Linked DNA regions of Arabidopsis thaliana. The protein of the gene in region 4 purifies or fractionates together with the protein of the main gene of each other region. This does not show direct contact. Each region holds a gene or a part of one and is shown on either strand. Other genes may lie near its edges.

Region 1 (7,127 bases), on a different chromosome or scaffold from region 4:
GAGGAAGTACATTAGTTTGGAGAAGAGTAATAGACAGAGAGATAGAGAGAAAGAGAAGCAGTTCGGAGAAACAATGGCGGTAGAAGACACTCCCAAATCTGTTGTAACGGAAGAAGCTAAGCCTAATTCAATAGAGAATCCGATTGATCGATACCATGAGGAAGGTGATGATGCCGAAGAAGGAGAGATCGCCGGAGGAGAAGGAGACGGAAACGTTGACGAATCGAGCAAATCCGGTGTTCCTGAATCGCATCCTCTGGAACATTCATGGACTTTCTGGTTCGATAATCCTGCTGTGAAATCGAAACAAACCTCTTGGGGAAGTTCCTTGCGACCCGTGTTTACGTTTTCAACTGTTGAGGAATTTTGGAGGTTAGGTTTTTGATTTTATTTTATTTCCGACTCAATATCTGGTTTGTTCAATTATTCTGCATCTGGGTTTTGTTATAGGTTTCGATTTGTTGAGGAAAGTTATGTTCTTTATTGGGGGATTAGAAGATCCCATTGAAGTCATTATATGTTTTTGATGAATTGCTATGTTTGGTGTTTGAATTCGTAGCTAAAGCTTATGTTAGGGTTTAGCTTTGATATTCTGTTCACTTGTTTGTGAAGTAAAGTAGAAGAGCAAAGTTTGTGAGAGAAAGAGACCAACTTTGAAATCTTTCTTAGTGGTTTTCTAGGTATCAGAATTTGAGCAAACACTTTCGTGATGACTGAGGGTTGATGTTGTATAGTTCTTGCTCTTCCCAATGAGATTCATAGGTTTGTGTATTGTTCTTTCGACTTCTTATTTTAAAAGACATTTTGGTTTGCAGTTTGTACAACAACATGAAGCATCCGAGCAAGTTAGCTCACGGAGCTGACTTCTACTGTTTCAAACACATCATTGAACCTAAGTGGGAGGATCCTATTTGTGCTAATGGAGGAAAATGGACTATGACTTTCCCTAAGGAGAAGTCTGATAAGAGCTGGCTCTACACTGTACGGTTTCTATTCTTCTTTTATTTTGACTCGTAACTCCTGCGTCATCATCCAATTGAATCTCACCGGTTTTTCTTTTTACATGCTTGGTTTAGTTGCTTGCATTGATTGGAGAGCAGTTTGATCATGGAGATGAAATATGTGGAGCAGTTGTCAACATTAGAGGAAAGCAAGAAAGGATATCTATTTGGACTAAAAATGCTTCAAACGAAGCTGCTCAGGTAAATAGAAAAGACCTTTCTCATCAAAACTCATCAAACAGTCTCTCTGTGTAAAAATAAGACTTTAATTCTCGTCTGCATCAAATGTTGCAGGTGAGCATTGGAAAACAATGGAAGGAGTTTCTCGATTACAACAACAGCATAGGTTTCATCATCCATGTAAGAAGAAAGCTTCTCATAATTCTAATTCAAAAGTCTTCATTTTCTTCAGATCTCTCATTGTTTGGTTTGGTTTCTTTTTTTTTCAGGAGGATGCGAAGAAGCTCGACAGGAATGCAAAGAACGCTTACACCGCTTGAAACCTCTCAAATCTTTGCATTGTTTCAATTACAGTTTTGTATGTGAGAGATCTCTATTTATCTAAACATGACTTGACAGTCTGTCTTTGCTAGTGTTGATTGTTCACGAAGCTCTAACATTTCATTTAGTAATATATTAGTATGGTTCTTCATAATATTTACGTTGGTGCCCTTGTATAAAACCACCGGAGTGAGCGCAAGCTTTACAGACAAACAGTGCTTCTGTCTACCCAAGGCGGGCCTTAAAAGCCTGAATAGTGTATATGTTTACTTGACAAGAGCCCATGTACACTCATGAGCGATTGACTTTAACCGGTTTTAGAGAAAACTACTTTTACATTGTCACATTTACATCCTTTATAATTAACCTTTTAATTTAGGTTTTAAAGATCCACCTCAGCATTTATTTTAATGGAATGATTATTTAGCAGTGTGAACCGATTAACTCGGTTTTTGACGGTGACCGGTTTAGAGGAAATGGGAGTGTCGGTAGGAGATCTAAGTAGCGAGTATGTAAATTGTCCAACTGTCTGAAAAGGACCACTTGGGACGACAAGATTCTTCGGCTAATAATAATACATCACTCGTTTCAACAAATAAAATTTTCCTTTCTATTATTATGCAATCTTATAGCATATGGATTTGATCTTTTTTAATATATAAACAAAAGGTTTTCCAATTATGCTAAACCATAATCTGAAATTGATTTTAAATAGCTACAATCAACTACCCAAAAGCTTCAAATATGCAAAATAATAAAGTATAGGTTTATATATATAAACGCACACAAAAGAGGTTGAATAAAAATAAACATAAGGATGCATGTGCAGTCCAGATTAGATCTAAATCTATTGAGTATTGTAATAATATTGTTATGAAGATCTTGCTGCGAAACTACACACATTTAATTCCAACATGTTTTGTTTATAGAAATTGAATAAAATCAAACGCGCCTTCATCTTCAAGTTAAAAATCAAATCTTAATTAGTGAAGACAAAGAAGAAGAAGACATTATTTTAAGTGAGTTCTCTCTCTGTCACACTCACAAAGCTTTATACTTTCTGGCTACTGCAAGCTCATCACTGAAAAGAGCTTAAACCAGAGAGATCTGATAAGAGAAATTTTAGAGTCTCTCTGCTTCAACAAGATCTACATCGACCAGGTTCAATATTTTTCTCTACTGTTAGTTCGTGTTCTAGCTCTGTTTCAACGAGATCCGATTCTGTGTTTTCGATTTCAGTGCTAAAGTTACGGTCTTTGAATCTTTCTATGTTAGGATTAGTCTTTTGAATCCATAAACTCTAGATTTCAATTGTTAAAGGCTAGGTTTTGATTAGTTTGAATTAGCTAGATCCTTTTTTAACAGATCTTGATGTTTAAGCTCAAAGTTGTGTCGTTATACTGAGAATCAAGTTTGTGATTTGTTGGGAATGGTTTCAGGAGATTAGAAAGAATCATGGGTTCTAAGCATAACCCACCAGGGAATAACAGATCGAGAAGTACACTATCTCTACTCGTTGTGGTTGGTTTATGTTGTTTCTTCTATCTTCTTGGAGCATGGCAAAAGAGTGGGTTTGGTAAAGGAGATAGCATAGCTATGGAGATTACAAAGCAAGCGCAGTGTACTGACATTGTCACTGATCTTGATTTTGAACCTCATCACAACACAGTGAAGATCCCACATAAAGCTGATCCCAAACCTGTTTCTTTCAAACCGTGTGATGTGAAGCTCAAGGATTACACGCCTTGTCAAGAGCAAGACCGAGCTATGAAGTTCCCGAGAGAGAACATGATTTACAGAGAGAGACATTGTCCTCCTGATAATGAGAAGCTGCGTTGTCTTGTTCCAGCTCCTAAAGGGTATATGACTCCTTTCCCTTGGCCTAAAAGCAGAGATTATGTTCACTATGCTAATGCTCCTTTCAAGAGCTTGACTGTCGAAAAAGCTGGACAGAATTGGGTTCAGTTTCAAGGGAATGTGTTTAAATTCCCTGGTGGAGGAACTATGTTTCCTCAAGGTGCTGATGCGTATATTGAAGAGCTAGCTTCTGTTATCCCTATCAAAGATGGCTCTGTTAGAACCGCATTGGACACTGGATGTGGGGTAAGTCGATTTCTGTTTGATCTAGTAACATATCTTATTCATTTCTTAGATTCTTATTGATGCTAATTTACCATCTCTAGGTTGCTAGTTGGGGTGCTTATATGCTTAAGAGGAATGTTTTGACTATGTCGTTTGCGCCAAGGGATAACCACGAAGCACAAGTCCAGTTTGCGCTTGAGAGAGGTGTTCCAGCGATTATCGCTGTTCTTGGATCAATCCTTCTTCCTTACCCTGCAAGAGCCTTTGACATGGCTCAATGCTCTCGATGCTTGATACCATGGACCGCAAACGGTAAATATTAACTATCAAATTAGGCGAAAATCCATTTCTTGCTTGTACTCATATTGGTGTCTTTGCTTCTTGATTGCTTGTACAGAGGGAACATACTTAATGGAAGTAGATAGAGTCTTGAGACCTGGAGGTTACTGGGTCTTATCGGGTCCTCCAATCAACTGGAAGACATGGCACAAGACGTGGAACCGAACTAAAGCAGAGCTAAATGCCGAGCAAAAGAGAATAGAGGGAATCGCAGAGTCCTTATGCTGGGAGAAGAAGTATGAGAAGGGAGACATTGCAATTTTCAGAAAGAAAATAAACGATAGATCATGCGATAGATCAACACCGGTTGACACCTGCAAAAGAAAGGACACTGACGATGTCTGGTACAAGGAGATAGAAACGTGTGTAACACCATTCCCTAAAGTATCAAACGAAGAAGAAGTTGCTGGAGGAAAGCTAAAGAAGTTCCCCGAGAGGCTATTCGCAGTGCCTCCAAGTATCTCTAAAGGTTTGATTAATGGCGTCGACGAGGAATCATACCAAGAAGACATCAATCTATGGAAGAAGCGAGTGACCGGATACAAGAGAATTAACAGACTGATAGGTTCCACCAGATACCGTAATGTGATGGATATGAACGCCGGTCTTGGTGGATTCGCTGCTGCGCTTGAATCGCCTAAATCGTGGGTTATGAATGTGATTCCAACCATTAACAAGAACACATTGAGTGTTGTTTATGAGAGAGGTCTCATTGGTATCTATCATGACTGGTAAAACATCTATCCACACACAAATCTTTATCTTCCTTCCATCAATGGCAACAATCATACAATCTCTACTGTTCAAATCTCTGTAGGTGTGAAGGCTTTTCAACTTATCCAAGAACATACGATTTCATTCACGCTAGTGGTGTCTTCAGCTTGTATCAGCACAGGTAATGATTATAAACCCTAACTTAACCTTAAAGCTCCACACTTTCTGAGAATCAAAGCAACCCTTTATTTAGCCCTAAAGCTACAAACTTTCTGAGACTTAGCAACGTTGAAGTGAAACCCAAAGCTATGAACTTTCTGAGAATTAGTAAACACTTGTTTTAACCTTAAAGCTATGAACTTTCTGAGAATTACCAACCATTGATCTAAACCCTAAAGCTACAAACTTTTTGAGAACTAGTGATGAATTTTTCAATTCTGTACTAGGGTTGTTTAAGTAATGGGTCAATTTCATGTTGGCAGCTGCAAACTTGAGGATATTCTTCTTGAAACTGATCGGATTTTACGACCGGAAGGGATTGTGATTTTCCGGGATGAGGTTGATGTTTTGAATGATGTGAGGAAGATCGTTGATGGAATGAGATGGGATACTAAGTTAATGGATCATGAAGACGGTCCTCTCGTGCCGGAGAAGATTCTTGTCGCCACGAAGCAGTATTGGGTAGCCGGCGACGATGGAAACAATTCTCCGTCGTCTTCTAATAGTGAAGAAGAATAAAACAAAAACAAAAAACTCCTCAGGTATTGTAGTTACAGTCCCTGTACTTTACATTTTTTACCAGATTTGACTACGAACTTTTGTTAAGATCAATTAAACCCAAATTCCTTCTTTTTCCTTTGTTACTCTTATGATTGAGTTTGTTTTTTCTTTCTTTCTTTCAGGTTACTAAGCTTGAAGTGTAGATCTATTTTACAACATCTGGAAAATTCTTATCAAAAAAGGAAGGAATCAGAATTTCCATTAAAGAAAGGTGTCAAAAAAAAGTTGTAAAACTATATAGTAGTGATCAAGACGAATATGTGCATTTATGTTTTATTTTTGTTCCCTAGTTTTTAATTTTATTTTTTTGAAGGAAGAAAAAATTAGTTCCATGTGTTTTTGCAAGATAGTTGAAACCTTGGACGCTTGTTATGTATGATGCGATCTTGACATTTTTTAATAACAGTTATTTTAAATAAATTTATGATATAAACGGAAACTTCTAGATAGTTTTAAATAACATAAAATTAGTAGAAAATATCAATAACAGTTCGATGACATTATTGTAGGGAAATTGATTCATATGTGGGTCGCTATTGTACGTAAATGGATACTACTGTTTTGGAAGAAAGCTATAGTTGTCATGGGTCACCTTTTGTCTCATGACTCTCATCATACATTTATAGATTACATATTTACATTATCATAACATTTTACACATATTGATATAACTATCTCTAATAAAAAAAAAACACAATCTAACTTTATAGCACATAAGTATTAAACATAATGAATTTATCCCCAACAGTTTTAAGTTCCGGTCGAATAAAAAACTATGGGTTGTTGTGACATCGGCTCCTTTATCTACAAACAAAAAGAGAAAAATTATTCTTCTTTTCTTTTTGGGCAAAGATGGAATAAAAGGACCAATAAAAATAGTAAAAAATACAACTAAGACTACTTTCGTATAAGTGATGACTCTATAAAGGAAACTGTTTTTTTCATTCAATTATTACATCAATACTACTTTCGTTTGAATTATAACATTTTCGTACAAAGATGGATGCATATACACATTTTGTTTGGCTTATCCTTCCCAGACAAAAAAAAGTGGCTTATTGTTTTTAACCTAAATAATCCGACTCGTATCAATACACTCGCTTAAGAATTTTTATTTTCTTTGATAACAGGAATTTCGCAAAATACTAATCTTTCGCATTTTTGGAGTGCCGAATATTGATGTTTTAAACATCTATAAGGAGTTAAGGATTAAGGACCAACTTTAAACAAAATCATAGTTGAATAACTCGAATCATAATTCCTCATCTCCAAGATGAGTCATCAAATCACTCGATCACAATAAAATGAGATATTTCGCCAAAGCTCAATTTCATTAAATTATAGGCAAGATCATACTCTTCCGTAAGGAAAGCAAATTGGAAACTATTAAACTTACATGGATAATAAAAGATACACAGGTTGATGTATTTTTAGGAACTACAACATCCAGATAACGAAACCATAAGAGAAAAAGTTATTACTAGAAAATAGATAAAGAAGTCTAAACATCCTAACCAACGAACTATTGACCTAGTGGTAAATTTCTCGGGTGAAGGTAGTAGGTTCAAGGCACGTTAGAAGAAATCTCTTCTCCAAAAAAGATGAATTTAACTTGGTGTGAATTCCGCCTCGGAATGTAGAACTTTTGGAGTTGAACTTCCAGATATTAAAAAAACAAAAAAAAATCATTTTAAAGATAATGAGTTCCAT
Region 2 (6,412 bases), 7.2 Mb from region 4:
GAGTGACAAGACAAGTGCATCCATCAAGGAGTTGAACATCACTCTTAAATCAAAAGCATTGCCCTTAAGGAGCTATAAGTACCCTGTAATGGATGAAATGTTAAGCAAGAGAGATGATAAACTCAAATCTTCACCAACAGCTGGTCCACAATCAGATCTCCTACAAAGCTTGACGTAATCCTTCATCTCCTTTGGCTCAACCAAAGGCAAGACGAGGATAGAGTAAAGCGCTTTGGTATGCAGAGCAATAGGCCAGAGAATGTTCCTTTCATCATCATCATCATCATCTTCTTCGGTTAAGCAAAGGCTGATAATATGACGAGTGATGGGATCATCAACCCAAGAATCCGATCCTTTGGTGGATTGAGCAACACGTATACCATATCCACGAGTAGAGCCTTCCCTAATTCGGATTCGAAATTCAATTTTACATTTCCAGAAAATCTAATTAAGCTAAACAAGAGAAAGTGTTGTACCGTCTCTTTCTTCGAGTAAAAGAATCGGAGATTTGTTGATCAGTGGGAAGTCTAGGAAGATCTAATCCAGTGTTTTCGTTCTCCGTCTTGTAAGCGGAGCACCATTGCTTCTCGACGACCGGAAACCTCCTGATTTTGCATACAAATTAAGAGTAGAAATTGGAATGAGTGAGATTTGGGTTTATAGAAGAAATTTGAAACCTGGAGAAAACAACAGTGTCTTGATTGTTGATGATCCAGAGAGCTCTGATACTGCAACCAGAGGGCATAATTGTACGGCTGCTGATGAAATCCCCAGTGATGAATCTGGCTAAGCTAAGGGACGAAGGCACATACGTAGTTGAATTGATGTATACGGCGGTTCCGATCACAGAGCCGTTCTGGTTGGTTTTGGGACGATGACGAAGAAGAAGACTCCGACGGAGTATCTAAACGATGATGGGCCGAATGTTTGGGTCTTCTTAAAAGTTTAATGGGCCATATGTTTTACGACTGAGAAAAGGTCCAAGAGTCCCCAAATCTAATGGCCTGGATTCCACCAACGGTCAAATCCTTCAACCCTACTTTTCAAATTGCTTCTTCTAGGGGTTTTGGTGAATCGCTCTGACTTGAGCTTAAATTTACCATAGAAATCCTTTTAAGGCTTATCGATCGAAGAAGTTGAGATCGAAGATGTAGCGATCGAGGGGAGAGGAAGAGTCATGTATGAGAAGGGAACTCTTTGTTATGAATTAAATTAGAAATATGCTTGTCCTTGTTCAAGAATCAAAAGTTCATGTGATTGAGAAAATATAGGAATGACATGTATAGTCATCATCATCTGATTTTAAAAGACAACAAACTAGCGGGAAGATTTAAAGGAAACCGTAGAAAAAAGGAGAACAAAAAAATGATGGAGAAGAATGGCTTAGATGCTGCTAGAGTCACGGCCAAAGACAAAGCGTCGAGTCCAATCAGAGATGACGAGCATCCTTGTGCGCCAGCTCACCAGTTTGCTGGCGTAGACAGAGTACCAAAGCCACTGGCTGCTGTGTCCAATGGAGACCCAATCTCCTGGCAGTTCAGCTGCTGTCTGTTCCCCTCCCAGTGGAGCAAACGATCCAAAATGTCTGTACCTGAATGGCTGGAACCGATGTCGACCCTCTCCTCTGAACCTCAATGGTCCCTCTGGCTTCTTCTCACATTTCTCCATTTTGTTGAAGCACTTTGCAAGGTACTTCCCTTGTTGTGATGCAACCTGTATAAGAATCAAAACATCAAAATCTGTGTGGTGGATTGATTTCATCTTGTTTTGATCTATAACAAGCTTACCTGTGCAGTTGCTGGAAGGTTCTTCATCTGTGAATCAACCTCAGAGAGAGCTTGCTTAAACTTTTCGATATTCACTTGTGTGTCCTCACCATTTGCACTCTTGAGCAAGTTTGCAATGTTCTTCAGCTTATTCTTCTTCAAGTAGAGCTCCACCTGAGGGTACCTCTGGCAAATGTCTTTAACCACACTATTGAAATCTTTCTTCTTCAAAGTTCCTGTGTTTCCCTTGTCTGCTTTGTTGAAAATCGCAGCTATATCTTCCTGTTTGTTCAACAACATCAAGACAAAACAGAAGGTTAAAGATTCATTCATCAACTGAGATGTGACACAAAGGAACAATGTCAAGAGAGATGATACCATGACTCTGCGTTGGTTGATCGTTGCAGTGTCACCTAAAGCATAGACACCGTCACATCCCTCTACTCTAAGCCATTCGTCGGTAGCCAAGACACGTCTCTGTCCCTGTAACCATACTCAATCTAGTTAGGTGGGACACTAGCAAATGATTTGGTTAGTCAAATGATTTCTTCATGTGATCAAGTGTAATCTAACCTGACCAATCTGCTGCATAAAGTCTTTGATGACAGGACGTGAACCAATTCCTGTTGACCACACAACCATACCATAAGGTTCGGAGACAATCTTGCCAGTTTCTCTTTCCTTTGTGGATATCTCATCAGCAGTCACTCCCACAACCATTGAACCTGTCTTCAGATCAATACCATCTCGCTGGAACTTTTCCTCAGCAAAAGCAGTGATTCTCTTGTCAAACCTGAAGTAGAATTGAACCAACATTGGAAAAGCAGTAGATTTAGCCAAAGTTAATGAAGCTTGATGGGTGGAACTTACATGTTGAGAATGTGGTCGCCTGCTTCAAGAAGAGTGATTTTTGTGAACTCTTGGACCTTTGGGTAAATCTTAGCCACATCCTGGACTAGGAAATCATGAAGCTCTGCAGAGAACTCGACTCCAGTTGGTCCTCCACCAACCACAACGAAATGCAGAATCTTTTTCCTCTCTTCTTCAGTTAGATTCGGAAGAGAGGCTCTCTCGAAACAGTCGATGACTGAATGACGAATGTTTAGAGCATCCTCTGCTTCTTTGAGGAAATAGGCATGTTCCTCAACTCCAGGGGTGTTGAATGTGTTAGGCTTAGCACCAACAGCTAAGATGAGAATGTCATAATCCATGTCAAACTCTGTTGTGCCCTTAAGACTTGACCCTTCCTTGGACCGGCAGTGGATTTTCTTGTTCGATGCATCAATCTTGACACACTCTGCTTCTTTGTACTCAAATCCTTTCTTGCGCATAAGACCACGAATGGGTTCAACAATGCTACGGGCTTCGACAGTACCATTGGTGACACTTGGCAAGAGAGGAGTGAAGAGGAAAAAGTTACGAGGAGAGACAACTTGAACATCATAGTTAGGGTTGTTCAAGTAACTCAAGAAGCTGTAGCCGCTCCATCCACTGCCAAGAACGACCACCTTCTTCTTCCTTATTGGGTTGCCATCTGAGTCAAGAGTAGCGTCTGCGTGTAATATACGTTTCAATGGATTCGAGTCTGAATACACCAGTACACCACCACCACCACTGGACAACAATACATAAAAAGACACAAACCAAAATAATTGTTAGACCCACGTTACTTAAAAAAAACATAGATCTGAGTCGAAAAAGGTATGAAGCTTATAGAGATGGTATGCATTATATCATGCATCACAGCTAGGGAAGAGGCCAAAAGAGGACAAGCGAAAAATTCGGACACGTGCATAGGAGTGGTCAAAAACATCACAAGACTAAAAATACTAAGAAAACAGTCAAAGCATCTATAAAGAGAATTGGAAACAAAAGAGTTATATAGATTCTACAGCTAAAAGAAGAATAAGAAGAAGAAGAAGAAGAAGAAGAAGTGTAGAATGGTGAAGGAGATCTAAAGGAGAATAAGGAGAGACCTGAAAGTGCTGAGAAGAAGAATCTTGGAAGTAGAAGGGTAAGCCTTGAATAAGCTAGAAGCTCTCTGGTAAAAGCTATGGAAACTCATGTTGATGATTTCTCAAACCTCAGATCCAAAAGAAAACAAAGCTGAGAGCTTTGGAAGAGAGGCTGCGAATGTGAAAGAATATGCAATATGGAAACTATCAAAGCTACTTTAGGGTACGTGAGAGAGAGGTCGGCGACACACAAAACAAAATTTAAAGAAAAAAGAAAAAAAGAAAAGACAGTGAGGTATTTAGGAAATTGGAGTAACGCCCAAGTAAATTTAGGTATATTCTTTTTTTTTTTTTTTTAAAGTAAATAAACAGCAGATTTGTTTAGGGTTTGACTTTCTCTCAAAACTCGAGACTTTAAGCGACATTATGTTCCGCGTTCCCTGGAGATTTTTTATTATTATATATATTTGGAATTCGAACAACTGTTGGATTCGATTTTGATTTTCATTTCTGATTTTATTTGGAATACTGTATATGATAAAGCTAATAAGAAGAATGGAATAAATACCTCATTCACTTCTATACATGCATGTTACAATTCATAAAATTCATAACTAAACTTTTTATGTTATATATGCATGAAGACTATGAGATTGTGCCTTTACAAACTCTTATCGATTACAAAAACGATATTGAGGTAAGTGCTTTTGAAGATATTAATAGTTTTTAACAAGAAAACTATTAGTTTGATGTCTTTAATTAAGGTTCAATTTATGAAAATGCTTGCGAGTTTAAAGAGAAAGTATGAGAACAATCTTGTGAAAGCCAAGAATGGTGATGAACATATCAGACTTCATGATCTCAGGGCTTTTCAATTGTCTAAGTTTGTTTGGGGAGATATTGAAGAATCACCTGTGAAATCGAAGAAAGTTATGTCTATGAACCTTGAGCTTGGTAAAAACAAAGATACTTTTCCCAATTCTTCTCTTGTTAGATCACTAGAGCGTTTTGGTGTTGATGAACTTACTCCTCAACAAGGATTGAGTAGCCTTGACTTAGAGGATAAGAAGATATTCGAGGAGCAGTTGGAAAGCTTTGCAGGTTATAGAATTCGAGTTCTATTCGCGAAAAAGTGGTTTTCTTCATGAAGTGTTAGCAAAGATGATTGAAGCACTTCGATCAAAAACTTAAGAGTTTTAAGTCTCGAAAAAGCTTCTTACTTATGAAAATAAAATTTGATGATTGTGATTACGAAGCAAATGTCAAAAATAGTACAAAATAGCTCCAAGATTAAGCATGAATAAAAGAGCTATTATGTTAAACACTAAAAAAGGAAAAAATATTACATTTAATATGTTCCAGGGTAGGTCTGGGCGTAATATCCGAATCCGTAGAACCGAACTGAACCCGACCTGAAATATCCAAACTTGTTATACTTCGGTTTCGGCTAATTACCCGATCATATTCTGTTTTCAAATAAATGTGGGTATCGGGTATTATCCGAACCGAACCCGATACATGTGAGTACTTTTTATTATTTGAACATATATATACATATGAGGACATATATGCACTAATAACTTGAATTTGTGACTTGTTTAATGATTTGAGTTATGGAACGAGCTCAAAACAAGGTTTACTTCTTGTTTTATATTATTTTCTTAAGGAAAAATTTGTTATAATTTTAGATCTTTGGGGTTTTATGGATATTTTAATATATGTTTGGGTATAATTGGACAATGTTTGGGTAAGTAATACTCAAACCCAAAATAATTTTGGTTATGTATGGGTTTTTAACCAATACCCGAATTACTTGTATTAGAAGTGAACCCAAACCGAACCCAATTCAAAATTGTACGTATAACCCAACATATCCAAAATTTCTAAATATGGAAAGAAAAAAAATCCAAAATTTCTAAACCCGAAAAACTCCAATCCGAAAAATTTGATCCGAACCTGACCTGAATACCGACATGCCCAGAGCTACTCCAAAGTGGGGAAAATTGGCTCGGATTAGTGTGGATGAAGTTTTTGGCTTTGTTATGTAGTTTTTTGGCTTGAAGACCAAAATTTATATAGTTCCAAAGTCCAAACTAGCTTAGAGAAATTGAAAGCCAAAAGAGGGTAGATATGTCTTTTAACACTCTCTTACAAAAAAAAATAGTTACTTGATTCTCAAAGAAGGGTGAATTCGAGGTTTTTTGCAGCGAAGAGAAAGAAGATGGTCGGTTGAGCTATTTTTGCTTCTCCCGACAAAATTCTCAGATCCGAATACTTCCACCATCATCATTCATTTATAAGATCTGGGTTTTACACAGCTCTGCGAGTACAGTAACTATGAGAAGGAGAGGAGGGGATAGTTTCCGGAGAGCTGGACGGAGGAAGATCTCGAATGTGGTATGGTGGGTTCTCTCTGGTATTGCCCTCCTGCTCTTCTTTCTCATTCTCTCCAAAGCTGGTCATATTGAACCTAGACCCTCTATTCCTAAGGTATATTCAATCTCAAAGATCTCTTCTTTTGTTCGATTTCAATTGCTAAATTCGAACCCTTTCTTTTGTGCAGCGACGTTACCGTAATGACAAATTTGTAGAGGGTATGAATATGACTGAGGAAATGTTGAGTCCTACTTCCGTTGCTCGTCAAGTTAATGATCAGATTGCTCTTGCTAAAGCTTTTGTTGTCATTGCTAA
Region 3 (9,130 bases), on a different chromosome or scaffold from region 4:
ATAAATACACTTGCAAAAGATTCTGTAAGAAGAAGTGGAGCGAGATAACAAATCCACAATATTATTTGTAAGCCATCTTAATGGAATCCAATGGCAAATTTTCACCAAAGATAAACCAAAACTAGAAAGAGAAGCAAAGAGTCACAACCTTTGAGATATGACTGCCAAGGCTTCTGTGGACACCACAACATTTTAAGCATATAAACACTCCAATATTAGCTGACCTGTAATAAGCAACCAAGAGTTTTATGGGTTTACGAAAAACGAAACAAACCAAAAAATGCACAAGTAGGGAAACAAGATCATAACATTCAATCAAACTGCTTAGAGAAGCATAAAATGCTTACTGGAACAAAACATAAAAATGGCAAAACTTACGCCCACTTAGGATCTGGAGCGCCACAATCAGCGCAGACTCGGTTATCAGATTGAGTTAAAAGATCCCTTATTCTCCTTTTACCTGTGAACCAACAAGGTGGATAAATCAGTCACAGCCTATATATCTCTCATACAAAGACTAATCTTTGCTAAGATAAATGGTTTACCTGAGCCAGGCTTTCCGAGTCCGGCTCCAGAATAACTCATTGCTCTTCTAAAGAACTAGCAATCATCAAACAGAGAATCCTTCACAGACCAAAGAAATCACCCATCACGCACAATATGGTTAGAACATGGTATTGTTAAATGAGAGATCAAACTCTGCTTTGCAAATTTAAAAACCAAACTTTTTTGGGGAAACCACGACCGCAGAATAACCATGAACAAATCGTTTTCAATACCCATTTGTAGATCATCAGCATCATCGATTCGTGTTCCCAAAATCGAAATTCAAATTTAGAAGAGAAAAAAAGGCCAAAAATCTGATCTTTGTTAATTCCTGAAACCATTTCAACGACGAAAACATAACCGACAGGAAAAGACTTACAAAGAAATATTCAAACTCGATGAAACATAAAACCGATGAAGAAGAGATCAGAAAGGAACAAGTAATATGTACGGAAATTCCATCAAGGAGATTTATAGATTGGATTGGACGTTCTTACCAAGGTGAGGAGAGAGAGAGAGAGAGATATGTTCTTGGGACACAAATTCAAGATGAACAAATAATTGTCTGAAAAGACAACTACGTGCTTTTTCTTCTAAAATTTAATTTTCCAATCAACTGTAAAGTTTTGTGAAGTTGTAACGATGCAAGAAAAAAAAAAAAAAAAAAAAGTTGTAACGTTGCCATTGCCATGTTAAGGGTCAAATACCAAATACATTTCCTTCGTTGACTCGTTTCTACCCAAAGTAATTTCTACATTTTTATCAGCATTTATTTCTATTTTGACTAGAATGAAATTCGGTTTGATTTTATATATAAAATTTCATTTCGATTTTATGGCCAGCCTATTTCAAAATTTTGTTAGACCTTTTAACTTTCCACAAACACTCATAAAGTGTGAATAATTAAGAAACTCATGTGATCTAATCATGAGCTAATCATTATCTTAGTTGATTTGGTTCAACAAAAAAGCTAAGGAAAGAGACTCTTGATTACTTTTTAAGACTAAACTGAGAGAGTATGTAAACTCTGAACTTCTTTTGAATTTGTCTATCACCATAATCTATAAGCAATACTACAAAACTGAAAATACGCATAAACCAAAAAAAGATCCTTCATAGTGAGTTCTTCTTCTTCAAGCAGATTTCAACTTGTTTGATGCTGATGCAAGTTGAGATAGTGTTCTGTGTCCCACGAACAACAGAAACACTCCCAACAAAGAAAGTGCCTTGAGAGTCGTGAATAGATCCAACTGTAGAATGCAAACAAACAAAACAAAGAAATTGTGATTTGATGCAATGATTCAACTGTAGAATGCAAACAAACAAAACAAAGAAATTGTGATTTGATGCAATGATTCAACTGTAGATCAAACAAACAATAATCGGTTATGAAAACTTGCCTTCAACCAGAATAGCACATATAGAAGCAAAACAGCTCCAATTCCGCAGTGGAAAAGTAAAGCGGATATTGCAGATCCAGTCGACGATGGGAAGCTCTTTATGTTCACTCCCAACCGCGTAAGCTGAAACATAAAAAATATATATGAGTAGTGAAAGAAATGTGATGATGTTTTTCGGATACTATTTACAAGCAAAGGGAGACTGACCCCAATCAGGAAACCGATGAATGGGAGAACGATAACACCCAAGAAAACTAGTGAGAGCTGCTTTGCTGGAAGCTTTTCAGGAATCCTGAATATGTGTGATATTTCAGCTTTTGGCCCATATCTTGAGTAAGGCTCAGTAGACTGTAGAGGAGGACGAGTCGCCTTCTCTGGACGCTCTGGTAGGTCTAGTTCAATGTGACCAATATTACTCAGTAAAGAGTTCTCCTGGGAAAAGAGAAAGGAAAATAACACTGTTCAAATCTCAGAAGACATAAATCATCAACTGCATTGGACCTGAAAGTAAAGTACTTACCATAGAAGCATCTCCAATGGTTAGCTGTATCTCATATTTACCAGAGAGGTAGTAGAGCTTCTCAACCAATCCAAGAAAATCCTGAAGGTAAGAAAATAACATTAACCATTAATATTGTATTTAGGACGTCATTAATTTCACCAAACTTGATCATTAAACTTTTTTTGCAAAAGCAATTTTAAATGAAGTTGAAGGAACTTAACTAGAACTAATTCAGACTTCTTTCCAGAAGTTTTCACGAGAAAGATATGCTCGACCTGTGACTCATGTTTCAGCTTGAAAAATGCCTGCATGGAAGTAAGCAAGTCAAGAAAGTGAATAGAACAGAATATAACCATTGATGAAGCGAAAAATCAAGAATGAACAAACCTGGTGTGGCTTAAACGCATTGCCAAGTGGAGTAGTTAACTGGAATGACAGGCGTAGCTTTTGAAGGTGGTTTGCTGATAATGATACCGCTCCATCTTTAGTTAAATCTAGCCTACAAATGTTACAGAGAGAACCAATAAACAAAAAGAAGACACTAAGCACAACAACAAAAAGTTTGAAATATATATTGTAAGCAATAATGGTACAAGTTTCCTAAGAAAAATGGTTAAGCAATTAGCAATCAATCAAAATAAGCAAAAAAGGAAGTTGTTCATCAACAATACAGGTGACATACTTTTTCTGAGATTCAACGCTTCCAATGTCACTGTCAAGTACAGCAATTTCTGCATTTTCAATGCTAATAGCTCCTGTGGCAGCTATAGGCACTTTTGTTTGAGCTTCAGTTATGTATACTTTCTCATGTGCTGATTCATCCAGCACAATCTGCAGAAAACGAAGCTTATCATGTTGTCATCATACATTTATATGAAGTCTTGGGTGTAGTAAAACCAAAGAAGTGCAATACCTTAAATACAAAAGTATATTTTCCAATGTCAAAGTTCTTGGGAAAGGAGTCCAGGAAGTACGTTGCACTGTCAGCGTCAAACTTAAGCTCCTGTACCCCAAAAATGTAATGGAAAAATGTAAACCGGCCTAATGCAGAGAATAAGGAACATTTCTATTGCAAGCTCAAACAGTAAGAGATACATTATTTACCTGGTTATTAATTACAGATGAATCCACTGACTTAGAACTTAGAGCTTGTGTAAGCTTCACACTAAGAGCTGGTGCCTTCGAACCCAGTACAGTGCTAACTTTAACCTAGTTCCAGATAAAGAGAAAAAAAATCTAAAATAAGAAAAAATGTAATGGATGAAGGGTCAACTAAAATGAGTCATTATCAAATAGATAAGAGATCTCTACAAAAAAGATGCAATGCTATGAGCCTGAGCAATCTCTAAACCAAATACCAGCTAGAATCCAACATCCAACCGTTATAGCCAGAAAGTCCAAAGTTAAGACTTTCACTACTAGAAGTCAAATCTTGATGCAAGCTTATGAATGGGTACCTTCAGAGGCTCTTTCTTTGTCAATGAAATGACAGTGGATGGAAGAGACAAGATGAGTGGAACAGAAAACCTGAAATGATAGAGAATGACCATAGAGCAAATTATTGTTCCCATAGAATGATAAAGTTTCAGCTAGACCATAATAAATGAGCAAGTGGTTGAAATTTCACAAGTGTTCAAAGTTTTAAACTTCTACTCTTTCCCTACAGATATCATTTCTTCGGTAATCATTTTGTTCAAAATTCTAACAATGTAAAGAGAAACAGTTTTTCTCTTTCATAAGCAACTTTACTTTAACACAAAAGAATGGAAGTAACAGTAAGTCCTTGTAACTCTTATGTCTTTCACACCACTCAATTCAAGGTTACTGAAATGATTCTAAGATGTGTACTGAAATAAACTAATAAGAAAATGCACAAAGAAAATGCACAAAGGGGCATGAAAGTAGTATTACTTGTTGTCTTCCAAACAAGCTAGTGCATCTATTTGGTTGAAGAAGTCCTTGGCATCACCAGGAATTCCAACACCCAGAAAGAATTTGGCCAGACCAACTATCTTATCACCTGGAAGCTGCATGAGATAATGGGAATGCGAAGGTCAACTATCAACACATTTGTCAGAATAGGATACATGAAAACATGGGTATTACATACGTTCAATCCTGTGGATTCTGAAGCTGCAAATGACGTGAGCCCTCTAATAACTGATGCAGTTGTTGAGATCGGGCCTTGACTTGCATCAACAGACTTCTCATCAAAATAAAATGTCCCATCATCTAAAAGACCAAAAATAATAATTCAAAGCCCACATATGCAAAACCCAAGCTGGCAAAAACTATGAAGTGAGTGAAGAGAATATAACATGCAATACATAGGATAGCAAGTAATTTACTGCATACCATATTTTTGGATACTGTCAGAAAGCTTCAGGATACCCGTCTTCACCGACTGGATCTAACAGAGGACAAACATGAATGACGATCATTACATAACCAAGATTAATAAACTACCAGATAAAATGAAAAAGAAACCACCAGAATAACCAAATGAGAAGTCAGGTGGACATGCATAATTATCAAAACACGAATCTTTCTTTGTGATTATCAAATCACAATTCCCTGTAGCTAAGATTTGGAATTTATAATTATCAAAACAAAACTCTTTATTTTAGTTACTTAGAGATTCCAGAAGCAAAAGTAGATCATCACTAAACCAACATATCGTAGTGATATCTCATCAAAATATATTCTCAGGAAATCAGAAGTATAGTGGATTAAACATCTCACTTACCAAAGATGGATCAAACTCTGAAGGTGCTAATGAAATCACTCCAGCAAGCGTTTCATAGGCTAAGCCTGAGAAAAAAAATCGCATGTTGAGAAGAATGAGTGAAATAACAAAGAGCAAAAGAAGTGAACAAGCTGAAGCAAGAAAGGAAGGGATACATAATCTAAAAGGCTCATCATTAACGTTAGGTAAGGGTTAATCCAATATGTACTACTAACCAGCAGCAAAAGTGCTTGATTCGGGATTGTTGGAGCTGTAGCGCCATCTTCCATCACTCTGGCTAAGAGACTGATACAAATGCACTATATCAGCCAAATAATACCCGGAAAACAATCTAAGTAGTATTAATATAGTAACTGAGTTTTGGTAACATATCGAAAATATATATATACTTCTACCAGAGTCTATAATTGATAGTCCAAAAAGACAGTGTATGAATGTCACATCTGATAGTTCAACAACAACAAAATTGAAGGTCAGCTAAACAAGTTCAAACCTTGATGGAACGGAAAATGGCTTCGGCATCTCCAAGACTTATATGAGTTCCAGGAAATTGCTCCTGCATTCATGGAACAGTGAGGTCAAACTTGAAGCCAGGAAAAAGAAAAGTCAGGAAGCCAAAGCTATGGAGTTGAATAAAATAAAATAATCACGATCACAGGTACCTTCTGCCAAAACATTTTCATACTTCAACATAATGCACGAAAAACTAAGAAAACTCTCCTAGAAATACTCTATGGAAAAAGGGTGTAGTCAATCTCACTCAAGATGTCCACCAAAAGTTTTAACTCGTATTTACCTTAGCCAGCACCAAGCCTCTGACAGAATAATAGAAATCAAGCAATAGCTTCGCATCTTTAACACCAGCTTGAAGTTGAGAAACAATGTCCTTCAAAAGAGGAAAAGATAAGGTTATTTTAGCCGCTTAATAGTTAAAATTATGATACTGAGAGGAGACAATTGTTTACCTTAGGACCAGCTTCACCAATTTTACATTTTAGAATCCCATTAACGTTTAACGCATAAAATGCATCCTTAAGAGTAGAAGAAGACGACTGAAGAACTTTAACCACATTCTCACAAGTCTTTGAGCTAAGATCAGACTTTTTATCAATTCCAAGAATCTCCAAAGTCTTTAATGCTTCATATGCCTCCTCCAAGCTGATAGTAATAAAAATCAGATTAGTCCGTACAAAAACCATTCATGAACATTAACGAGCAACCAATATGTAATCGGTGAAATGTGGTTAAAACCCCTACATCAAAGCAATGCCGACTTAAGATAGAGAAACCAACCTTTTGTATGATCCATCGACTGGTACGAAGACATCCAGAGCCGCAGATCGGTGAGAGTCTGAGATCGGCTGGAAAACAGAAGCAGCACCGCAAATTGCTACGGCGAGTATCAAAACCAGAAACCGTACGTTACCTCCGGCCATCATCACTGCATAAGAAAACTCAAAAAAACAGATAAACTCATCCAAATCAATACAATTACACATCTACGACGGATGGATTCCAAAATCAACCGAAGATTTAAGCTTCTTACAGATCGGAAGTAGATCCGTATAGTCGAAGAAGCGGATCAGAGGTCGACGAGTCTCAGTAGTCAACGGAGACTGAGGTTTGAGGTAAGCCTAGGATCGATCTATAGCTTTTGAACCAGACGACGAACCAGAGAGAAGGCTAAAAAATGAGTGTGAGTTTGATGACACTACCTGATATTACCGATTTACCCTCGATTTGAACTTAAATTACACTTCATGAAACGACGGCGTACCTTGAAACCCTAAACCTTGCAGATCAACTTCAATCACCATTTTCATTTCAAACAGAGAGAGCTCTGAGGAAATCAGAATCTGAAAATGATCAGATTCGCGAGACCAAAACCTATAATTGACTCAGTGAGTTACAATCTTCTCCAGAAATGTTACGCTAGTGGAACCCCCAAAGGAAAATCGAAGCTGAAGACAGGCCAATCATTGAAACGCAACAAACTCACAATCAAAAAAGGCGGTGGAAACGGCGGTGGCAGAGGTGGTGATGAGGTGGATAAGGGAAAAGGAAGAATCTCAGATCAATGCATAAACGCTCCTTGTCCTGTTCGTTACCTGAGACCTAAGGAAAGAGAGCGAGAAGCGAGACGAGAGAAGCTAGGGCTAATCAGTAAAGCGAGGCAAAAAGAGATTGATTTTCAGAAGAAAGGTGGATCCTTTACGATGGGAGTTACTACTGCGCCGATGAGGATTGGGACTCCAGGATTGGATTACATTTCGTTAGGGATTTTTACGGAAGATGAGTTACCAAAGTATAAGGTTACAGTGGAGGATGGGATTAGACTTGCGAAAGAGTATAGTAGAGTGCTTATGAGAGAGCATAGAGCGAGACGTGTAGCGGAGATTAGTTTGATGAAGATGAGGAACGCTGCGGTTGAGGCATTGCCGGAGAATTTGAAGAAGGCGGCTTTAGTGCGTGATTTGACTCCGTTTCCGGTGAGTCGAGGTACGGCTACGCTTACTCCACCTATTGAAGGGTATTTGGAGAGGATTATGAATGCTGCGGCTAGGAAGAGCTCTGGTAAAGAGAAGTTGAGATGATCTTGTTAAGGTTAGAGGAATTTGTCTTTGCGTCATTGGTTTTCTCTTGTTTTATTAGTTGTGTTGATTGGATTTCGATCAATGGATATAACTTTGAGACATTTGTCTTTATTTTTGTGATCTACTTGAAATAAAATGGTCACTGGCAGTTGCTACTATATGATAGAATATTAGTTGAAGCTTGAAAGTTTAATCTTTTTCTACTTTATATTGTTTCATATCGGCCTTCTGAGAGGTGAAGTTGTCTAGGATGTAAATGGAATCTTGTTAAACCTCTTTTGTATCTCTTTCCTTGATCGTGTTTGCCTGTTTGCATACTTCTTTCAAATCTTCATTTTTCAGTATTATGTGTATGAACACTGTACACTCATACATTTAGGATTTGTCTCTTCATATATTCTAACCTTTAGGAAGGCCACTGGGTCATGATCAGCTCAAACTTGGTATAACTTTTTATCCTTACCAAAACCATATTCCTAGATAAGAACTGCAGACTATCTTGGAATCTACAGTTCTGCACCAAGATTACAACTGTTTAATCAATATGGGAGTTGAGGTTTGTCCTCTGTGAGCTTTGTGTTGGAAGTTCAGCAGAATGTTATGTAGGAAAGGATGTCCTGCATCTGCTTGTGCTTCTTCATTCAAATGCATAGTTTCTGGGTATTTTCTTCAAGCTCTCCATATCATTTTCTGCATCTTGTTACCCGGTCCAGTAGAGTGCAATGGCAAGAGTCCTAAAGCTACAAAGACCACGATTCTCCAAGGATCATCATAGTTTGAAAGCTGAGGTAGCTAGTCTAGAGAGAATCGTAGTCATTAGACTTCATCTAGGGACCTCTTGGCTTCTATGTTTCCTTAGTTCACTAGCTATTTTTGTAGACCTATTGAGTCCAAATCTCTGGTAAAATAATCAAGTTTGTGTATCTGAGTTCTTAAACCACAAATTTTTATCAATTCTAGTATTCTTTAGGATCTTTTGAATACCACTAAAACAAAGTTCCTCTATGCGTAAAGATCAGATTGTATATGTTGTTTGATCAATAAAACAAGACTTTTAAGCATAAAGCAGGAATGGGACTTTCCGATTTTGTTTAATTAGAGCCTCTATATGTTCTCTTTCTTCCCTTCCATGTCAAAAATATAGCTGTAGTACCTCTACATAACTGAAGTTCTAAAATAAGTTGCAATCTAAATTGAGATCCCTTCATGAAAGCCTTAAGGGATGTATTGCAACACCGTTCTGCGCAGATTTTAAGCAACCCCATCTTCCGAGCCGCGGTTCCTGCCATATACCCAAAGTTACAGTTAAGATTGGCATTCACAGAGACGAATATATATGTCT
Region 4 (7,770 bases):
GATGCTGATGAGTTAGGATAAACCATGGCATCACAATCGCCAGGTCTATTATACAATAATTCAAAAGAGATCGTTAATAACTCGAACAGCATGGAGTCTCCTATCTAACATTACAAAATATATTTAGTAATAGACAGAGATACCATACTCAGAGGAAGATCCGCTTAGCAGCCTCCAAAGTATTGCATAGTAGCATGGTGATCGTCATAGGTCCAACTCCTCCCGGTACGGGAGTGATAGCCGAGGCAACACCTAACGCTTCCTCGTAACATACATCCCCGACAAGACGGTAACCAAACTCACAGCTACTATCCTGCAATATTATAACACGTCATGCTTCAATGTCTAATCAGAAACAAGAAAACAATCTGAAGGAAAAACATTTCAAGCTCTAATTCAGTTTAACGTTTTCTATATCAGATTGGATTCAAGCTATGGTATAAGTCTTTTTTCATTGGAAAGTATTAAGACTTTTGATCAGTTAAGGAAAATAGTTTCGTTTTTACCTCGACTGGAGTTGTTCCAACATCAATGACAACTGCTCCAGGCTTAAGCCAACTTCCACGAACTAAATTAGGTATACCCGCTGCTGCTATAACGATATCCGCCTTCCTAGTAATGTGCTCTGGATCCTTTGTAAACGCATGCACCGTGCTTACTGTCGCGTCATGCCTCTATCCGAGAATTTCAGAAAACATAAATGCATAGTTAATTCCCAAACCAAAATGTTTAAGCATAAGAATCCACTTGAACTATAAAGAAGAACTAATACCTGCAATAATAAAGACATTGGTAGTCCAACGATGTTGCTTCTGCCTATGACCACAGCATTTTTTCCTGCTATTTCAACACCCGTTCTTATCAACAACTCCACACAGCCCTTAGGAGTGCAAGATACAAACAGCGGTTCCCTCCCTCTCATTGCAAGATTCCCCACGTTTAATGGATGAAACCCATCAACATCTTTCTCCAATCTCACCATATTCAAGATTTTTGATTCATTAAGATGCTGTACAAGATATCTTCCATTAAATGATTGGACTCATGAGAAAAAAAAAAAAAAAGGAAAGGAAACCAACAAAATACAAGAACGTTCTCCTGAAAAAGAGCTCCACAAGTAAGATGCTCTATCGCATAACCTGTAAATTAAATGCTTTACCTACCAACGAAAAGGAAACCTTAAAGGGGAAAATGTTATGCATGAGTCCATGGTCGATGAAAATATATGAATCAAGAATTTCTACATACAAGTATGAAAACAAAGTAAACGTAACTACTTGACCTCCTAACATAGAACTAATCTTTGACATCAACAACACTAACATCCCCCATCACAACGTCCAAAGAAAAAAATGAGAAACATACTTGGGGTAAAGGAAGTTGCACAAGAATTCCGTGAATAGACGTGTCTTCATTGAATTTTCTCAATACACTGATAATCTGTCCTTCAGTACAATCCTCTGGTAATTCAGCCAAAACAGATTTAATGCCAGTTTCTTCACAAGCTTTAATTTTGTTGCGAACATAAGTTTGCGAGTCTCTTTGTTCACCAACCAAAACAACAGCAAGACCAGGGACTTTTCCAACAGCCTTTTTCATCTTCCCCACTTCACTAATAATCTTTGTTCTGATTTCCTCAGCGATAACATTACCATCTATCACCACAGTCTTCTGTTCAGTCTCTGTATAAATGCATACACACAGAAATCAACTCATACAATTAGAGAATTTTCTTGTAACATATATATATAGCCATGAAAATGCAACAAAGAGTATTACCAAAGGAAACAGGAGGTGGAGGATCAGAGTAAGGAATCCAATTTTCAGGCAAGTCAAGTGACACGAGAGGAGGAGACACTAAGATGGAACTAAAGCAATGTACATCCCTTGTTGCCAAACGAAACGCCTTAGTATGCGCCGAGGCCAAAGCTTTCCTCGCGATCATTAACATACTCAAAACTAAAAGAACAGTCACTGATTCAAATCAAGCACAAGAAAAAAGTCAATGTAAAAGTACAGACCAGACAAGAGAACCTTAGACAGGTCAGCCTAAGCTAGAATAAAACCATAATTTGATCCTTTTAGCTCCATACTCTTCATTACATCCACACAAACAAATAAAGAGGCGCATAATACAGTAAAAACAAACTTGCACCAGATTGAACCTAAATGGATTAAAGATTTCACCAGACTATCATAAGCTTTCACTCAGCTAAAATTCATCTTCTTCACTCAGCTAAATTCATCATACATAGAATTCTTAACAAAGAAGAAATCGGAAAATAGGAAAAAACAGAGGAGAGATTTACCAGTGGTATATAAAGCGTCGTCAATGGCGTTGAAAAATATCGCTAGGCATACCGGAGTTTAGGATTCAACGAGTGACAATATAAAACGATGATGATTAACAAAAAAAGTAAAAAGAATTCACCACCGTGTGAGAAAAGACACGTGTTATGATCTGGAGATAGATCTTGCAAGTGGGTTAAATAATAAACGGCGGAGACATAGCCACACGTGTGAAAAAAAAAGAGGTGTGTGTGTGTGTGTGTATGTGTGTATGTGTGTGTATCTCTCTCTCTCTTCCTCCAAGTAGCAAAAAGCAAAGGGGAAAGAGACGATGCGATCGGGCTAAGTGCAGAAACACTTATACTTGTGCATTCTGCAACACAACACACACACAGAGAATTCGACGAGAGTATGATTTGAGTGTATCGAGAACAGAGAGAGACATTGATAGAGAGATCGTTGGCAACGTTTTGGGGATCCAATGCGTTCGTAATTGGGAAAGACATTTCATTCAATTCTAAATCGGGAATATGAAAGGCGGAGGCGGTGGTGGAGGAGGTGGTGGCGGAGGAAAACGCCGGTGGAAAGTTCTGGTGATTGGAGTTTTGGTTCTTGTTATTCTTTCTATGCTTGTTCCTCTTGCTTTCTTACTCGGTCTTCACAATGGCTTTCACTCTCCTGGTATCTCTTATCATTCTCTCTCTAACACTCTCTTTGCTTTTTTTCTGCCGATCTCTGTTTCAGATCTAATCTCATCTTTTTCACTTTTTCAGGATTTGTCACTGTTCAACCGGCTTCTTCAGTAAGCAATTTCTCGTTTCTTTGTGTGTTTGTTTTGGTGTGTTTTGATTTTGTTCTGAATCTTCTTTCTTTTGGAATCAGTTTGAGAGCTTTACCAGAATCAATGCTACTAAGCATACACAGGTAATGTCACTCTCCTTTGATTGATTCGATTCTCATTTTTTATACCAAAATCTTTTTGCTGCTTTTGATATTCTTTCTTTGGTTTTGCAGAGAGATGTATCCGAACGGGTCGATGAGGTTCTTCAAAAAATCAATCCAGTTCTTCCCAAGGTTGGTTCCACTTGTTTCAGTGTGGATTAAAGGCCTTGACCTGTTCCATTTATGTTATAGATTAGTAGTTTTTGACAGAAATTTTAGATCTTTTCATGTACCCATAGAGTCAAAGCATTTATGGTGGTTGGAAGCACTTCATTATCTTACACACTGCTCTCTAATTGACACACACATTTCAGATCTGGTCTATATATGTTTAATTTTCAACTATTGAAGTATGTTTCTGTCATAATTATTGGCATTAATGTTTCACATCTTGTCTTTCAAGTGGTGTAAAATATATAGGCTTTGTAGTTTGATTACAGATAATAGGGCTATTTGTAAATGTATAGGCTTTGTATCAGGTTTGCCACAGTATTCTTGCAAGATGTCAATGCTAACATTAGAAAAAACTTAGATGCCTTTTCGTTTCATGGAAAGCTATGCAAGATGCCAATGCTAATATTAGCCAGTGAATCTGGAAACTTTACTGGCACTACAAACAAACTATAGGTCAAAAGGTTGTAGTTAATCAGTTGCCGTATATTTTGTGTGATGTTGCTTAAAGGGTAGAGAAATTAGATGAATGATCTCTTTATTTTTTTTATATTTGACTATCTCATGAGACTAGAAAGTTGAAATACTTTCATGAATTATGTTGCTTAATGTATCTCAAATTGTCTTGGGCAAGGTCAAGAATTAGTTCCTTGGGTGAGATGGTTAAACTGTTTGTAACAATTTCTATACTTATGTTTTGTTTTATTGTATCACATGCTAGAAAAGCGACATAAACGTGGGTTCCAGAGATGTGAATGCAACAAGCGGCACTGATTCTAAAAAAAGAGGTCTGCTTTACAAGCTTCACTTTCTTGAAATTCCTCTTCCATTATTTTATATTGATTCTGGTCTGATACTTTACGTCTGGTCTCTCCATTAATCTGCAGGATTACCAGTGTCCCCAACTGTTGTTGCCAATCCAAGCCCTGCAAATGTACAAATATATTAAGTGGTTTCCTTAGTAGACATCTTTATATCTCTCACCAATCATTTAACGTTAACCTTACTCTGCTTTCTTCTGTGAACAGAAAACAAAATCGGAAGCCTCATATACAGGTGTTCAGAGGAAAATAGTAAGTGGTGATGAAACTTGGAGAACTTGTGAAGTGAAATATGGGAGCTACTGCCTCTGGAGGGAGGAAAATAAGGAACCAATGAAAGATGCCAAGGTGAAGCAAATGAAGGACCAGCTGTTTGTGGCTAGAGCATACTATCCCAGTATTGCTAAAATGCCTTCTCAAAGCAAGTTGACTCGGGATATGAAACAGAATATCCAAGAGTTTGAGCGTATTCTTAGTGAAAGTTCTCAAGATGCTGACCTTCCACCACAGTAAGTTCTCTACCAGTTTGGGTTTAATCATTTTTGTACTGAAAGTTAGTTCCTTACTGGAAAAGATTTTGTTGGATTCTAGTCACATGAATCTCTCCTAGTTTGCCTTCAGTTTGTCTGGACATCCTGTTTTCTAGTGGTTTACTTGCTTTCAGATGGTTTATGGTATAGAAAATATTTATCATAACATTCTCTCTTCACCTATCCAGTGGGCAGCACATCCAGAAATATCACTATTTTGAAGCCTTATCGGTCTCAATATCTTAAACCAATGTATAATTTAGTAAACTAATGTACTAGATGATAGGAGGACGCCATGGATGTTGTTTGTTCTCTCTCAAGAGAAGCTTTGATGTGTAGAATCCTATGCTAATTTCTTTAAACGTACTTACTGGGTATCTCTTAACACTGTTGTGTCAGGGTTGATAAAAAGTTGCAGAAGATGGAAGCTGTAATTGCAAAGGCAAAGTCTTTTCCAGTCGACTGTAACAATGTTGACAAGAAATTGAGACAGATCCTTGATTTGACTGAGGATGAAGCTAGTTTCCACATGAAACAGAGTGTGTTCCTCTACCAGCTTGCAGTACAGACAATGCCTAAGAGTCTTCATTGCTTGTCAATGCGACTAACTGTGGAACATTTCAAGTCAGATTCACTTGAGGATCCCATTAGTGAGAAATTTTCAGATCCCTCATTACTTCACTTTGTTATCATCTCCGATAATATACTAGCATCGTCCGTTGTGATCAACTCAACGGTTGTACATGCAAGGGTGCGTCTTAAATCCAGTTTTCTTTACTTAGTATTTTTTTTCATGCAGTCATAGAACTCTGATTTCTAATTCTTGGTTGGTTATTGATGTTTCAGGACAGTAAAAACTTTGTTTTCCATGTACTGACAGACGAGCAGAATTACTTTGCAATGAAACAATGGTTTATTAGGAATCCTTGCAAACAATCAACTGTTCAAGTATTGAACATTGAAAAACTCGAGCTGGACGATTCTGATATGAAACTGTCTTTGTCTGCGGAGTTCCGTGTTTCCTTCCCCAGTGGTGACCTTTTGGCGTCTCAACAGAATAGAACACACTACTTATCCCTTTTCTCTCAATCTCACTATCTTCTTCCCAAATTATTTGACAAATTGGAGAAGGTTGTGATTCTGGATGATGACGTTGTAGTCCAGCGAGACTTATCTCCCCTTTGGGACCTTGATATGGAAGGGAAAGTGAATGGCGCTGTTAAGTCGTGCACTGTGAGATTGGGTCAGCTAAGGAGTCTCAAGAGAGGAAATTTTGATACCAATGCTTGTCTCTGGATGTCTGGTTTGAATGTCGTTGATCTTGCTAGATGGAGGGCATTGGGTGTTTCAGAAACCTATCAAAAATATTATAAAGAGGTCAGTTTCCTGAAAAACCTTTTGTAAGAGATAATTGGGTGATTCTGAGCAATGACTTCCTTTTTTCATGTGCAGCAGATGAGTAGTGGAGATGAGTCGAGCGAAGCAATTGCATTGCAGGCAAGCTTGCTCACATTTCAAGACCAAGTATATGCTCTTGACGACAAATGGGCTCTATCAGGGCTTGGTTATGACTACTACATCAATGCACAAGCCATAAAAAACGCAGCCATATTGCACTATAACGGGAACATGAAGCCGTGGCTTGAGCTGGGAATCCCAAATTACAAAAACTATTGGAGAAGGCATCTGAGTCGGGAAGATCGGTTCTTGAGTGACTGTAACGTGAATCCTTGATGAGTAAGTAGCTACACGGCCAATGCTTTTAGAAGCAAGGTCACACGCAAAGAAAAGATTTAGAGTGCAACATCTCAATTTTTTGGGTAAATAAACCCGAATGCATTGCAGGAGAAATGCTGAAGGGGAAGAAGCATGCAGAAGCCATACCAAATTGATTATAAGAGACGTGATGATGGTGATTTGAAAAGCTTTGATATGATTAAAAAAAAAAAAAAGAGGATGTGAAAGAACTTTGATATGTTGTATATGATTTTTGGCAAAGAGATGTGCCATTCTTTTCCTCGCGTTGTTTTTCCAATTTGTCATGTAGTTTCTTTGTTATTCTTTACTTTTGTGACGTACCAAAATAGAAGGCGATAAGATTTTTTTTAATCTATTTCTTATTAACTAGTTTGCACAGTACATTTATCCATGGTGTTGAAGCTTCTTCTCAGAAAGCAAAAACAATCAGGTCTTATGAAGGATTTCTCTCAGACAGTGTGTCTGTTGCAATAGCGGAGGAGGCCCTTTCCTCGGTAGGTTAAAGTTTCGCATCCTTGCTCATGCGAAACTAAATAGTAAATAGTAAAGAAACTTTGACCATACAATGTGTCTGTAGCAACATTACAGCAGGAAGCTACACTAAATAGTAAAGAAAGTTTCGCATCCTTGCACATGTTAAATGATTCAAGCAGAAACATTGTTATAAAAAAAACACAAGCTGCACAAAAACCAATCCACACTTCACAAATCCAAACGCACCAAATAACTTTGTCGACAACTATGGTCTCAATAGTTTAAAGCACAGAGGTAAATGGATCCATCGCAACCTTTACAGTCCTTGTACTTTAATTTTGAGCTGATAGTTTTTCCCCTAATTGAGGTAACGTACAAATCAAGAAAGACATTGATTACTATGTAAATAAAGTGCAGTGTAGGTATAATGTTATATCCGTATAGAGATAATACATATAAGTAAAGAGCATGCATGTGGTATAAAGAAAGAAGAAAGAGACCTCAAGCAAAATTGTAACGATGAAGTCCCATCTTAGCATAAAGCTTGACTAAGTGGTAAGGATTAGGAGGGAGATAAAGACAGTTAACCTTGACCATTTTATAACCACCGCATACACGTCCATATGACCATATACAAACATACTTTCATCGTCGTCGGATGATGACGATACAGACCAAAACAAATCCCAATCACAATCATGGTTAGACATATAATTAACAAGAAGATGAGAGAAAGAATATCGATTGGTTTTGAGAAATATACGATATTCGGATATTCCCATGAT

What was found.
Region 1: the proteins of GAUT7 (region 4) and AT4G18030 purify together in Arabidopsis thaliana (affinity purification with mass spectrometry, with the first as the bait; one study listed by BioGRID). This does not show direct contact.
Region 2: the proteins of GAUT7 (region 4) and NDB4 purify together in Arabidopsis thaliana (affinity purification with mass spectrometry, with the first as the bait; one study listed by BioGRID). This does not show direct contact.
Region 3: the proteins of GAUT7 (region 4) and HAP6 purify together in Arabidopsis thaliana (affinity purification with mass spectrometry, with the first as the bait; one study listed by BioGRID). This does not show direct contact.

What each region holds. Positions count from the first base shown.
Region 1 is NC_003075.7:10,011,098-10,018,224, reverse strand, and holds AT4G18030 (S-adenosyl-L-methionine-dependent methyltransferases superfamily protein), read left to right. Parts: upstream 1-2,185; 5' UTR 2,186-2,663; intron 2,664-2,941; 5' UTR 2,942-2,957; coding exon 2,958-3,605; intron 3,606-3,685; coding exon 3,686-3,896; intron 3,897-3,981; coding exon 3,982-4,654; intron 4,655-4,740; coding exon 4,741-4,818; intron 4,819-5,119; coding exon 5,120-5,375; 3' UTR 5,376-5,398; intron 5,399-5,539; 3' UTR 5,540-5,864; downstream 5,865-7,127. Other genes in the region: EIF4E (eukaryotic translation initiation factor 4E), read left to right, coding at 74-372, 816-981, 1,077-1,202, 1,296-1,361, 1,451-1,501.
Region 2 is NC_003071.7:8,951,869-8,958,280, forward strand, and holds NDB4 (NAD(P)H dehydrogenase B4), read right to left. Parts: upstream 3,964-6,412; 5' UTR 3,832-3,963; coding exon 3,743-3,831; intron 3,381-3,742; coding exon 2,637-3,380; intron 2,560-2,636; coding exon 2,340-2,559; intron 2,250-2,339; coding exon 2,145-2,249; intron 2,049-2,144; coding exon 1,788-2,048; intron 1,714-1,787; coding exon 1,384-1,713; 3' UTR 1,189-1,383; downstream 1-1,188. Other genes in the region: AT2G20790 (clathrin adaptor complexes medium subunit family protein), read right to left, coding at 83-403, 477-605, 678-745; AT2G20805 (DNA-binding storekeeper protein transcriptional regulator-like protein), read left to right, coding at 4,471-4,869; GAUT10 (galacturonosyltransferase 10), read left to right, coding at 6,059-6,211, 6,285-6,412. UniProt on the Arabidopsis thaliana protein: Alternative NADH-ubiquinone oxidoreductase which catalyzes the oxidation of mitochondrial NADH does not translocate protons across the inner mitochondrial membrane. NAD(P)H dehydrogenase; more efficient on NADH.
Region 3 is NC_003075.7:11,276,149-11,285,278, reverse strand, and holds HAP6 (ribophorin II (RPN2) family protein), read right to left. Parts: upstream 6,851-9,130; 5' UTR 6,741-6,850; intron 6,649-6,740; exon of another isoform or gene 6,636-6,648; 5' UTR 6,634-6,635; coding exon 6,488-6,633; intron 6,353-6,487; coding exon 6,160-6,352; intron 6,081-6,159; coding exon 5,991-6,080; intron 5,751-5,990; coding exon 5,688-5,750; intron 5,480-5,687; coding exon 5,410-5,479; intron 5,260-5,409; coding exon 5,195-5,259; intron 4,859-5,194; coding exon 4,804-4,858; intron 4,681-4,803; coding exon 4,559-4,680; intron 4,476-4,558; coding exon 4,360-4,475; intron 3,976-4,359; coding exon 3,906-3,975; intron 3,658-3,905; coding exon 3,553-3,657; intron 3,452-3,552; coding exon 3,362-3,451; intron 3,280-3,361; coding exon 3,131-3,279; intron 2,948-3,130; coding exon 2,836-2,947; intron 2,754-2,835; coding exon 2,670-2,753; intron 2,548-2,669; coding exon 2,467-2,547; intron 2,379-2,466; coding exon 2,154-2,378; intron 2,070-2,153; coding exon 1,947-2,069; and 4 more. Other genes in the region: ZAC (Calcium-dependent ARF-type GTPase activating protein family), read right to left, coding at 149-224, 379-460, 546-585; AT4G21140 (copper ion-binding protein), read left to right, coding at 7,057-7,788; EMB2271 (Transducin/WD40 repeat-like superfamily protein), read right to left, coding at 8,993-9,070.
Region 4 is NC_003071.7:16,160,573-16,168,342, reverse strand, and holds GAUT7 (galacturonosyltransferase 7), read left to right. Parts: upstream 1-2,466; 5' UTR 2,467-2,819; coding exon 2,820-2,970; intron 2,971-3,062; coding exon 3,063-3,091; intron 3,092-3,171; coding exon 3,172-3,213; intron 3,214-3,303; coding exon 3,304-3,363; intron 3,364-4,123; coding exon 4,124-4,190; intron 4,191-4,289; coding exon 4,290-4,336; intron 4,337-4,430; coding exon 4,431-4,732; intron 4,733-5,152; coding exon 5,153-5,504; intron 5,505-5,599; coding exon 5,600-6,130; coding exon of another isoform or gene 6,131-6,157; exon of another isoform or gene 6,158-6,208; coding exon 6,209-6,487; 3' UTR 6,488-6,888; downstream 6,889-7,770. Other genes in the region: AT2G38660 (Amino acid dehydrogenase family protein), read right to left, coding at 149-313, 507-674, 773-1,009, 1,366-1,682, 1,780-1,951; AT2G38646 (uncharacterized protein), read right to left, coding at 7,534-7,767. UniProt on the Arabidopsis thaliana protein: May be involved in pectin biosynthesis.